3 linked regions of the Macaca mulatta genome follow. The protein of the gene in region 1 interacts with the protein of each later gene in a pairwise test. Links are inferred from orthologs where the notes say so. Each region holds a gene or a part of one and is shown in the gene's direction. Other genes may lie near its edges.

The links. The genes of interacting proteins can lie anywhere in the genome.
Region 2: the proteins of ENTREP1 (region 1) and WWP1 interact in binary tests that used the Homo sapiens proteins (3 or more experiments, as listed by UniProt). The link is inferred for Macaca mulatta from reciprocal best matches to the Homo sapiens genes ENTREP1 and WWP1.
Region 3: the proteins of ENTREP1 (region 1) and BAG3 interact in a two-hybrid assay, tested with the Homo sapiens proteins (2 studies listed by BioGRID and IntAct). The link is inferred for Macaca mulatta from reciprocal best matches to the Homo sapiens genes ENTREP1 and BAG3.

Annotation. Positions count from the first base shown.
Region 1 is NC_133420.1:100,430,217-100,433,349, forward strand, and holds part of ENTREP1 (endosomal transmembrane epsin interactor 1), read left to right. Parts: intron 1-1,192; coding exon 1,193-1,485; intron 1,486-3,133. UniProt on the Homo sapiens protein: Functions as an activator of the E3 ubiquitin protein ligase ITCH in the ubiquitination of the CXCL12-activated CXCR4 receptor. Thereby, triggers CXCR4 endocytosis and desensitization, negatively regulating the CXCL12/CXCR4 signaling pathway.
Region 2 is NC_133413.1:96,820,642-96,824,391, forward strand, and holds the start of WWP1 (NEDD4-like E3 ubiquitin-protein ligase WWP1), read left to right. Parts: upstream 1-1,272; 5' UTR 1,273-1,465; intron 1,466-3,750. UniProt on the Homo sapiens protein: E3 ubiquitin-protein ligase which accepts ubiquitin from an E2 ubiquitin-conjugating enzyme in the form of a thioester and then directly transfers the ubiquitin to targeted substrates.
Region 3 is NC_133414.1:131,748,349-131,752,098, forward strand, and holds the start of BAG3 (BAG family molecular chaperone regulator 3), read left to right. Parts: upstream 1-1,093; 5' UTR 1,094-1,389; coding exon 1,390-1,569; intron 1,570-3,750. UniProt on the Homo sapiens protein: Co-chaperone and adapter protein that connects different classes of molecular chaperones including heat shock proteins 70 (HSP70s), e.g. HSPA1A/HSP70 or HSPA8/HSC70, and small heat shock proteins (sHSPs), e.g. HSPB8.

The DNA of each region.
Region 1 (3,133 bases):
AGTTGAGGACTCCAGCCTCAACGGGAACTTAGCTGTTTTGCACAGCTTAGGGAAATCTTTCTGGAACCCCTTCTCATTCTGCAGACCTGCAGGGGTGAAGACAGCAGCTGCTGGAGCCCTCCATTGTGGAAGGTGCCAGGTTGCCTTCAAGTGGAAGAGTGGAGACACTGACTCTGTCCTCACACATGAGTGTCTTTGGCGAGTGCTTCTGGAAGACTCTTGCTCTCTGTGACATGCATATGGCTGCCTGAGAGGACAGTCTTGAATCCTGGTTTAGAGCTCCCCGTGCCTGCCTTTCTCCAGAGGAAAAGGAGTGCTCCCCTTCTTCCACCTGCTCTCTCGCCCCCTGCTTCTTGTCTTCTTTGAATTTCTAAATTTCTGCTTATCAGGCCTTCATAGACTGATGCCAGTGTTGTGTATGCTGAAGGCTGCTGGCTGGCTTCTGGACACATAATGACCAGATCTGAGTTTTGCTTCACCCACTTCAAAGTGCAGAAGCATTCTGCTGGTCTTTACACCCTTGCTGATGTAGGTAGCCATGGAAATTAGAGCCTGCGATGGATTTCCCAGGCCCTGTGTTGACTTCCAGCATGATGTGTACTTTTTCTGCATCTAAATTTCTCTTTCTGTAATAGCTATAGATCTACCTCATATCCATGGTGTGAGCATCGATAGCACAAGTCAGTACAATGTCCTTGAGGACGTTTGGGACAAAGGTATAGTCAAAGTGATCAGAGCATTACATTCATCTGACAAGTCTTGTCTCTTCAGCCCTTTCCTCTCTTAATTGACTACTTCATCCTTGCTCCTTGGAACATCCTTTCATGGGTCAGCCACATTTTTCCTGCTTGGCCCATCCATGCCCATCTGTTTGTCATACCCCATGAAACTTAACTTCATTATGGTTTGCATTCTGGATTCTCCTCTCCACCATCTGGCTTTACTTTGCAGGTGATGTCACATGGCACGATGACATGTTTTGGGCCATATCCTATTGGAACTGGACATCAGGGAATAACCTTGTGTCATAATTGTTTTCCCCCCTTCTGCAAGATGAAAAGCAGGATGTGCATGGCTATCAGCATTTGTCACATGCTTTCCATGTTGAGTTTTGTGGTCTGTGCTTTCAGGTACGGGCATGTGTTCAAAAGGGGTTGGCCAATGGGTTCGCGTTGTTTGTTTCTGCCCACAGCTGCCCCGGTGCTCAGCTGTGAAGCTGCGACACAGACTGAAAGGAGACTGGATCTGGCTGCGGTGACTCTGAGGAGAGGCTTGAGATCGAGAACTTCGCGATGCAGACCGCGGTCTTTGATAGATTACAAATCCTACCTGGACACCAAGCTGCTGGTGGCAAGGTTCCTGGAGCAGTCCTCCTGTACCATGACCCCAGACATCCATGAACTTGTAGAAAACATTAAATCTGTTTTGAAGTCTGATGAGGAGCACATGGAGGAAGCCATCACAAGTGCCAGTTTCCTAGAACAGGTAGTTCTATTATTAATCTCAGATGTGAATCAGATAACTCATTTTTATAGCAGCTAAAGTGGCTTCTCTGCTTTCCTGCCCAAGGCAGAGTAAATTTATGGTCACAGTCTTCAGGGAAATGGGGTTGGGAGGTCAGGGGAGGGAGAGAGAGAGAGGAAGCCATGGAGCTTTCAAGTGTGGTAACTTTCCCACGTCATTCTTGGCTCAAGGGAAGAGAACCCAGTTTTCCTGGGATGTGGAAGCATGTCTGCAAAAAGAAAAGAGTGCATGCCAGGAATAGAAGCGGAGGATATGGACAATGGGGAGTGCATTCAACATTTGATTTCCTGAATTGAAGGTTTCCTTTGATAAGGCATGTTTTCTCAGCCCTTTGAAAATGATGACATAGGTGAATTTTAATATTGACAAGATTCTAAGAGGCTGTTCACATTCCCATGAAATGTTTGGCAAGATAAGCCAACAGGTCCTGAGGGAATAAACACCTTTCTTCTTATAGATTAAAAAATACAAGGCAATCCCCAAAACTGAAGCCACTTGGAGAAAAGATAGAATTGGGCATGAACATAATCCAGTTGGGTCTCAGGTTTCTCCTCTTTAAAGTAAAGGGTTGGACTAGGTAGTCTCTATATCTCTATTTCTGAATGGATGGTGTTTCCTTCTGGAAGGAGCCTTCTCTCCACCTTTTTAAAAAGCCATTCCCTTTTAGGTGTTGGCTTCATTGCTGCAGGTAGTGGGGTAGATGTTGTAGACAGCACCCCACAATGACGTATGGATGTTATGCGACTCTGTGTCTTTGTGCATTAAATGTCCAACAAATACTTCTTCAATTGAAGTGGGCTAATTTCTCAGGGTAATTACCAACTTCAGGATGTAGGTAAATTTTTAATTCAGATTGAGTAAATACCCTTCTCACTTTCCCTTCTGTTCCCCCTTTCTACCTGCTGGCCTCTTCTTACAGAAGCCAGAAGCCAAACTCTCTCCCAGTCCCTCAGGGGATTCAGGGAGAGGAATGATCTGATTCCTTGCATGAAGAGATACACGAACCACAGACCGTCTTGCGTTTGCACTCTAAAAGAGTGATCAGTTACGATTCCGGGTCAGGCTCTAGTTACTAACCTGTGTGGGGGAAACATTTTACATCCTCGTGTCCCTTAGCTACTCCAGATGTCATTCTCTGTCACCTTCCCTCTCTGTGGCCCCAAGAGCCCAATAAACAGGAGCTGCTTCTGGAAGGCTGCCAAGCTCTGTCGAGCTAAGAGCTGGAGCATTCACCAGGCAGTGGGCCTGGACCTTCTGCAAAGTCTTGCTCCCTGGGAAATAACTCTGGGGAAAAAGAACAAGCACTTATACAGTTCACTAGATGCTATCATCACAAATGGTTGCTAGATCTTTGTGCCCCAGGCAGTTTAAAAGTTCAGGTGCTGAGATTGTTGTGATAGATTTTGGGTCATCTGCAGGGCCTTCCAGGACTGGACCCTAGAGGTGAGGTTTCACAATTCCATACCTTTTCCCAGGCAGAAGGAGGTAAGGACAGCAGAAGGAGACCGGTTATTTCTGACTGTAGCTGGCTTCGCATATTGGAGCTTTTAGATCCATTTTAATTTTCACTGATATCAAAACCACTTGTCCTAACTTACTGTGTAGAACA
Region 2 (3,750 bases), on another chromosome or scaffold:
GTGTGAAACCAGAGGGCAAGAACTAATGCATGGAGGTAGGCGGGAATGTGCATTGTTCAGTCAAGATATACTTGTTGAATTCTGTACACACTGATGAAGCGATGGCGCTGTTTTTGGTACACAGTTCAAAAGCTTAGTTAAAATGGAAGGGGAGAGAGAACCACAGGTTTTAAAATCAAGGGAAAATTTAGGACCTAGTCTTAAAACGTGATTATGCTGAGAGTTGTAGGCAGTGGAGACAGTGAAGTTAAAGATGTGCCAAGGACCGCTCAAAATGGGGAGCAGGCAGTGGAGAGGGGCAGGGGCATCTGGCCCTAGATAGAAGGAAAACTAGTAAGTCTGGGTGTGGACGTAGATATAATCTATCGGGGTTGGTCAGGTGGTTGGGAAAGCTGTAGAAATCCATGCCTGAAGGCTTCTGCTTCTCTGAAGTAGGAACCGGATCACCTGGTAAGTAATGTGGTCTCACGGACTTCTATTTGCATATTGACCTTTCTTCTAAAAGCAATACATATAACCAGCAGCACTTTTCTAAACCAGTTGACTTTTCTGTAAAATGCAGACAGTAGACGCTACTTTATCAGATTGTTGTGTGCGTTAGTTGTGCCAACACGTGTACTTGGTCAGTAAGTATCTGCTTTATCACTGGGCTGATGTGAGTGAGGACTAGGTGGTGGGACTTCCACAGATGAACGTTTTGATTAATAAAAAACGGACTGAAAGTCTTCGGGTATGACCAACAGCTAAATGCAATTATTTACTCTTGCAATGGGTTCGAGGTCAAACACTCAGGTCACGGAGTATTTATGAACAGCCTACTTTTGCCCCCGGATTTTAAGAAGTCCTGTTCCGGGCTCGACCGCCGACCGGAAAGTCAAATTAGCAGTGCCCAGAGCGCGTTTAGAGCAGCCCCTGCCCAAATCTCAGCGACGGCCCCGCCCCTTCCACGGGTTCAGGCCCCGCCCCTCCCTGCTATTGGCTGTCCCTCCCCCTCCGCTCGACCGCTCGGAAGACCAGGAGGAGCGGAGTTTTCCTAAGGCAGCATCCGAGCGCCCTCGCTGCGCATGCTCGGGGGAGGCGGATTCCGGGTCCGGAGTTGGAGGCTTTGGGCGGCCGCGGTGTAGCGCGCTGTGCCGGGGCCGGCGGGGAGGCGCGCGCTCGGGGCGCGGCGCCGGCGACGCGGCCACGCGGCGCGCTCCCGAGGAAGGGAGGTGTGGGGTCGGCTGGGGGTGGCGCGTGGCCGGGGTGGGGGTGGGGGGAGGGTCGGGTGTCGGCAAGCTCCGCGTGCGGGTTCCGAGTGGCTGCTGGCGGCCTGGGCTGCCGGGGCCGACGCCTGGGTGGCTGCCGCCGCCGCGCCTGCTGCGAGATGGCGATCTTGGGCGCGGAAGGGTGAGGGCGCCCGCCGCAGGAGGAGGTGCCGCTGCCGTGGCCGCCCGGCTGCCGGGAGCCGACAGCTTCGCGCCGGGTAAGGACGGCGCGGCGCGGGGCTGGGGGTGCGGGCGCCCAGGGCGGGAGGGGGCACGGGCCCGGAGCCTTGGTCGCGGTGCTGGGCGCCCGGCGCCGTCCGCCTCCGGGCTGGACCCTCCTAGGGGCCGTCGGGGGACGGTCCGCCCTACCTTGGCTGCCTTCTCCAGCCAGGGAGTCGGGAGTTTTCTAGGGTGGGGTCACGGGTCTTACCCGGAGTTCGTCCTGGCACAGGCCTGTGCCAGTGATCCTGGAGCGGAGCGAAGTGTTTCCGTGACTCTGCAGCTGCAGTTCTTAGGCTTTCTTAGCCTTCTCTTCGCCTTCCTCCACCTTTCCCTAACACCTCCCTCAAAACACAAATATATGGACTCATTGCCCGTGCCCTGACTTTAACCCCAATTTGAGCGTTGCAAACCAAGGACTGCAGCCTTGGAACGTCTTTTTCTGACATGTTTTTATCACTCCCCGTTCTTCACCGACTCTGCAGCTCCCCATCCCCCGCCCCCCCATCGCAACCCCCACCTCCACCTTTTGTGACCTGGTAGGTTCCAGTGACCTTGCAGATTTTACCAGTCCTTATCTTGTCTGTGACTTACAGACTCTCCTTTCATCTTCGTGTCCTTTTTTAAAAAAATTTAATTTTGTAGTTTGCTCCTTACCTTTACGACCTTTAAATGATCAGTCTTGTTCACAGTCCTTTCTTTGCTCTGTCGATTTGGAGTTTTCTTTGCTCTGGTAAATATATGAAACCTTCATTACCAAAGAAGAGTAGTGTCTGTTATAATTTTGACATTTTTACTCTTCCAGAATAAAAATATTTTTCAGGGGCTTGATTTTGCTTTCTTTTTCTATTTGATAAGTTTAACAAAATTTTGTGTGTGTGTAGGTTAATGTAGAACAAGATTTTGTGTTTCTGCTTTAAAATGTTACTAGTAATAGTAATGGGGGAAAAATCATGTCCAAAGTTATATTTATTTTCCCCATTTGGTGTTTTTACCTGAAATACTTGGTTTACAGTTACCTGCATTTTTTTTTTTTTTAAACAAGAGTTCATGTGTAAATCCACTTTACCTGCCTCACCAAATCTGTGTGTATTACGCAAGCAAAATGCACCTTTTAAAAAAGAAAGACATTCTTTTATTGTGTGACTTGTTTTTAGCCATCAAGTAGTAAATTAGCTGCGACTAGAAATGATCATTTTTTATAAATGGTTAGTATGTTAAAAAATGGAAAGTGTAGTGGCCAAGTGTTGGGAGCTACTCAGATTGGGAATTGTAAAGTATTTGGAATAGTTCTTTGGGACATAGCTTATTAACATTTTCAGATAGTTCTTACCTTAAAATGCGAAACTGCTGGTAAGATCTACATCAGGGTTTTGAAAAGCAATAATTATGAGCTACCGGCATAATACAGGATGTCACAGATAAAGTCTCTGCCTTCAAAGAGATGGTAATCTTTGCTGTTTACCCCACGGTGGCTGAAATTTCCTTTACTTCCTTGTACAGTTGTTAAGCATTTACTGCATAATTGTGGGAGGTATTTTGGGGAATACAAAGATGAACCGATTAGCAGTTTCTGCCTTCACACTAATTAGGTAGATAGTGCTATACACAAATGCCCTATTTGTCTTTTAATATATAAGTTTCATAAATGGTACCAAAATCCTCTCAGAAGTAAACTTTAAAGAGTAGAGCTCAGATCTTACTTGGCAAGGTAGAGATAAGAGGGTTAGTTTGTAGAGCTTATGGCTTCTGAAATCATGGTTTGGAAGGACGATTATGACTTTGGATAGGCAGGAAAGGTAATCCAAGCAAAGAGGTATCTCTCTAAGAGAGCACAGAGTCCCTATTTAGGGAGAGGCACGTACTTATGTTTGGATGGAACATAAGCTTATTTGTACCAGGATAAAGGATGGTAAAACTTGAAGGGAAAATTTGAACTAGTTTATGGGTTGTTTTTAATGCCAGGCTTATGACCTTGGATTTACTAGGTGATGGGGCTTCCACAGATGATTTTGAGTTGGGAGTGAAACAATTTGAACACTTTGTTTCAGAAGGATTAGTGGGATAGCGGCCTGTAGTGTGAATTGAGGTAGGGAGAACCTGGAGGTAGAAAGACCTCCCAGTTTTTGTAGTCATGGGTAGTGAGGATCTGAGCTGTGGTGCAGGCGAATGGAAAGGAAGAAAGGAAGTCGAATAGCCAAAATGGATGAGAGGGCAAGTGAAGAAAGTAAAAATAACTGATTCTGATTCAGGTTGGTTGGGAGAACAGTGGTACCATTTTGAG
Region 3 (3,750 bases), on another chromosome or scaffold:
CTGGGGTTACAGGCATGAGCCATGGTGGCAAGCCCTCATCAGTTATTTTTCTATGATTCTGTCTCGCTGTCCCCTCCTTACAAGGAAAGTAATTTTGAAACAACCAATCCAGTCTTGGTTCTTTGTTTCTGCTTTCTTCAGCCCTTCTCTGTCTATAAAATCAACCTCTTCTGCTCAGCTCATGGGAGCACTTATTCTAATTTAATAGAGGTGTTGCCCAATTCTAGAATCACAAATAAAATTAAGAACTTTAACAACAAAAGTTAAAAAATGAGAATCAGCAACAACAACAACAGAAAAGATCTTTAAATGTGTTGTAATTTTCTCCTTTGACAGGTTACAAGTGCAATTGAATAAACCAAACAAAAAATGTCATGGTTAGGTTCGGTCTTTACTTCCCAAATGAGGGTCAAGATGTAAGACAGCAAGAACCAACTTCTACCATAAAAAAGATCCGAATCCAAGAAAATGTGATTTTTCTTTAAAGCTGTTCACCGCAACGAAAGTTTCTTTTTAGTCTAGGAGACTAAAAGCCATCAGCTGACACAATCTCTTTTTTTCTTGAAGTTTCCAAAGGAAGGCAGGTGAGTTTGCACTAACTTCCATTTTCTCCCTGGCTTCCTTCTGGTGTCAGATGAGCGTCCCCGCGCTCCTCCCGGACAGCCCTCATGGTCCCCGGCTATCATATATGGGGGGGTTGGGGGGTGGGGGTGGGGTGGGGGTGGGCGAGATGGCTTTGTACAGGAAAGAGGGGCGGCAGGCACGGGGAGCACGGGCTCCAGCCCCAGGAACACTCAGTCGGCGCAAAGGAGAGGGAGAGAGCGAGTGCGAAAGCCGAAACCCTCCCGGGGCCACGGAGTAAGCCCCCAGTACCGCTCCTCCGGCGCCCCACCCGCAGGCGGACCCCGAAGACGCGCCCGCGCCCGCCCCCGGCGACTCCGGCCCGGGCACGCGCACGAGACGGCGGGGGGAGGGGCGGGAGAAGGTGGGGGAGGGGCGAGCGGGGAGAGGCCCCGCCCCGACCCCTCAGCCCCGCCCCGGCCCCTCAGCCCCGCCCGCCGCGATTATAGCGGATGACTCAGGGCGGAGCTCCGCGTCCAACCCCGGGCCGCGGCCAACTTCTCTGGACTGGACCAGAAGTTTCTAGCCGGCCAGTTGCTACCTCCCTTTATCGCCTCCTTCCCCTCTGGCACCGAGGAGGCTATTTCCAGACACTTCCACCCCTCTCTGGCCACGTCACCCCCGCCTTTAATTCATAAAGGTGCCCGGCGCCGGCTTCCCGGACACGTCGGCGGCAGAGAGGGGCCCACGGCGGCGGCCCGGCCAGAGACTCGGCGCCCGGAGCCCGCGCCCCACACCCGCGCCCCGGCGGGCAGACCCCGACCCAGTATGAGCGCCGCCACCCACTCGCCCATGATGCAGGTGGCGTCCGGCAACGGTGACCGCGACCCCCTGCCCCCCGGCTGGGAGATCAAGATCGACCCGCAGACCGGCTGGCCCTTTTTCGTGGACCACAACAGCCGTACCACGACGTGGAACGACCCGCGCGTGCCCTCTGAGGGCCCCAAGGTGAGCTGGGCCCGCGGCCCGCCCTGGTCGGCGGCGCCACCTCGACGGCAGGCGGCGGGGAGTGGGTTGGGCCGGGGGGACGCCAGGCGGCGGGGCCCGGTGGTCGGCGAAGGCCCCTTGCGGGCGGACACCGGCTCCGCGCCCCGCCACACACTCCCGGTGCTCCCGGACGAGTCCCCGCTCCGGACCCGCCCTTTACAGGAGTCGGGGCGAGAGGAGGCCCCGCGATCCGGTGGTCCGGGAAGCGACCCCGCAGTGGGTCCGGTGCGGTCCACGGCTCGACTCGGGGCGGAGGGCCGCGTGTCCGACGCTGGCCTCACGCTCCCGGGCTCGGAGGGGGCGGCCGGCCTGGTCAGCTCCGGAGGCTCCGGCCCGCCGCGGCCCCTGCTGCCGGCTCGGCCTCCGGTCCCGGGACCCGCGGCGCACCCCGCTGACCGCGGACTCGAGGGGGACCCTCGCAAGCTTGGATGGTGGTTTTTGGGAGGAATTTTACCGCTCAAGTTCTCCAACTTGGTTGAGGGGTATCTTGTTTGCTGTCCCATCTTAGGCACCCAATGACTCAGGAGGCTGGTGTCAAAACATTCATATATATGTGCGCGCGCGTGTGTGTGTATTTTAAATTAAAATTGTATTATTGTTTGAAAGTGCTTTCAATACGAATGTATCCTAGTATGACTTGTAAAATATAAAAGAGGGTGCACTTCTCCCCAGCAGTTTCTAAACTAGAGATCTGAGACTTACAGTTGGCCATTGCCTTACCACATTGCCTCACACTGGAAAGAGAATGATACGTGTATATTTATAATGGCATTCGCTTCCTGCCTTGTTATGGTATTAAAATACTTAGAATTTGTTACCAGTACACAAATAACAGAGTAATGATACTCTTGGGAATACAGCAGAAGTATGTCTCATTTACATATATGCAACGATATTCCTAATCCCCAAGAGCATGAAATTTGAAAACGTAAATTTGGAATGAGTCTGTTAATTTTCAAAAATCATAGTTATACTATTCGTTCAATTTTATATAAATTTGAGCTTTCAAAATAAAAAGTTTTTTTAAAAAAATATGTTATACTTAAAGCGTAATTGTTACTGCCGTCTGGGCAAGATAAAAGCAGCAAAGAGCTGGTAAATTATTTTGAAGATTTTAAAACTCACCAAATTAAAAATACTTTGTAACCCATTATTTTAGAAGAAAGACCTGTATTATTTCCCTTCATTTTAATGCACTTTTTGTTTTAACAATATTGATAAAACTCCGGTGCCCAACAGTGAGACACTGTACAGGCAGCAGTTTACATTTACGAGAGATTACTTGTGTATTTATTCTTGAAAATTAATACAAGAGGCTGTAATTAGCTGGGGTGGGCACAGTTGCATATACCTTTTTGTGTGTGTGTTCAGCCCATTTTTGGGTGAAACTGACACTCATTTCAAACCACCTTTCTTAGGCGTCTGCGTGGATGTACCTGATCTTTAGTGTGGTTTGCAACTATTATTTTGAGGCCTTCTTCCTGTGGACATAGGGACAGTGGTATCTGCTGGCAGCCTTTGTTGTGAGTGAAGATCAAGTTTGAACATAGACATTCCCAGCACTTTGTTCTCAGCATGAAACTTACCCAGCAAGTTGAGATATTCCTGTACCCACCTGGTGCATGGGTTAGGCTGTGGTTTCATAAACCTTATTAAAAGAAAAAAAGCAGGTTTAGCTGCCATTATTCTTCTCAATAAATAAAAAGTAAGAACTATTACATCAGAAGTCTGATGCTGGAAAGGTTTCTTTGAAAATTTCATAGTCAAAATTTTTAAGTTGAAAGGTCCTTGAAGATCTCTTAGTTAGAAGATCTCTTATTTTCTGAAAAACCCAGAGAATTCAGGTGTGACTTTGAAGGTCATCCAGCTAGTACCAATTACAGGGAGAGAACTAATGTCAGGAAAGTTCTAGTAAGAGGTGGTGTGTCTGTTAGAAGTTGGAAGTGAATGTTTTGTGAAACTGAAGCATGCAGGCTAGAATACCTGATTATCTTTGTGCCCTCCTGGCCACCAAGTTATTGGGTCACTGACCTCTGTGCTGTGGTTGCTTGGATTTTGATGATGGGACATCATCAACTCAAGAAAAGAGTTCTCTTTACGAAGTGAATGACTTGAGACTTGTCAGCATGGCACCAAAACTTA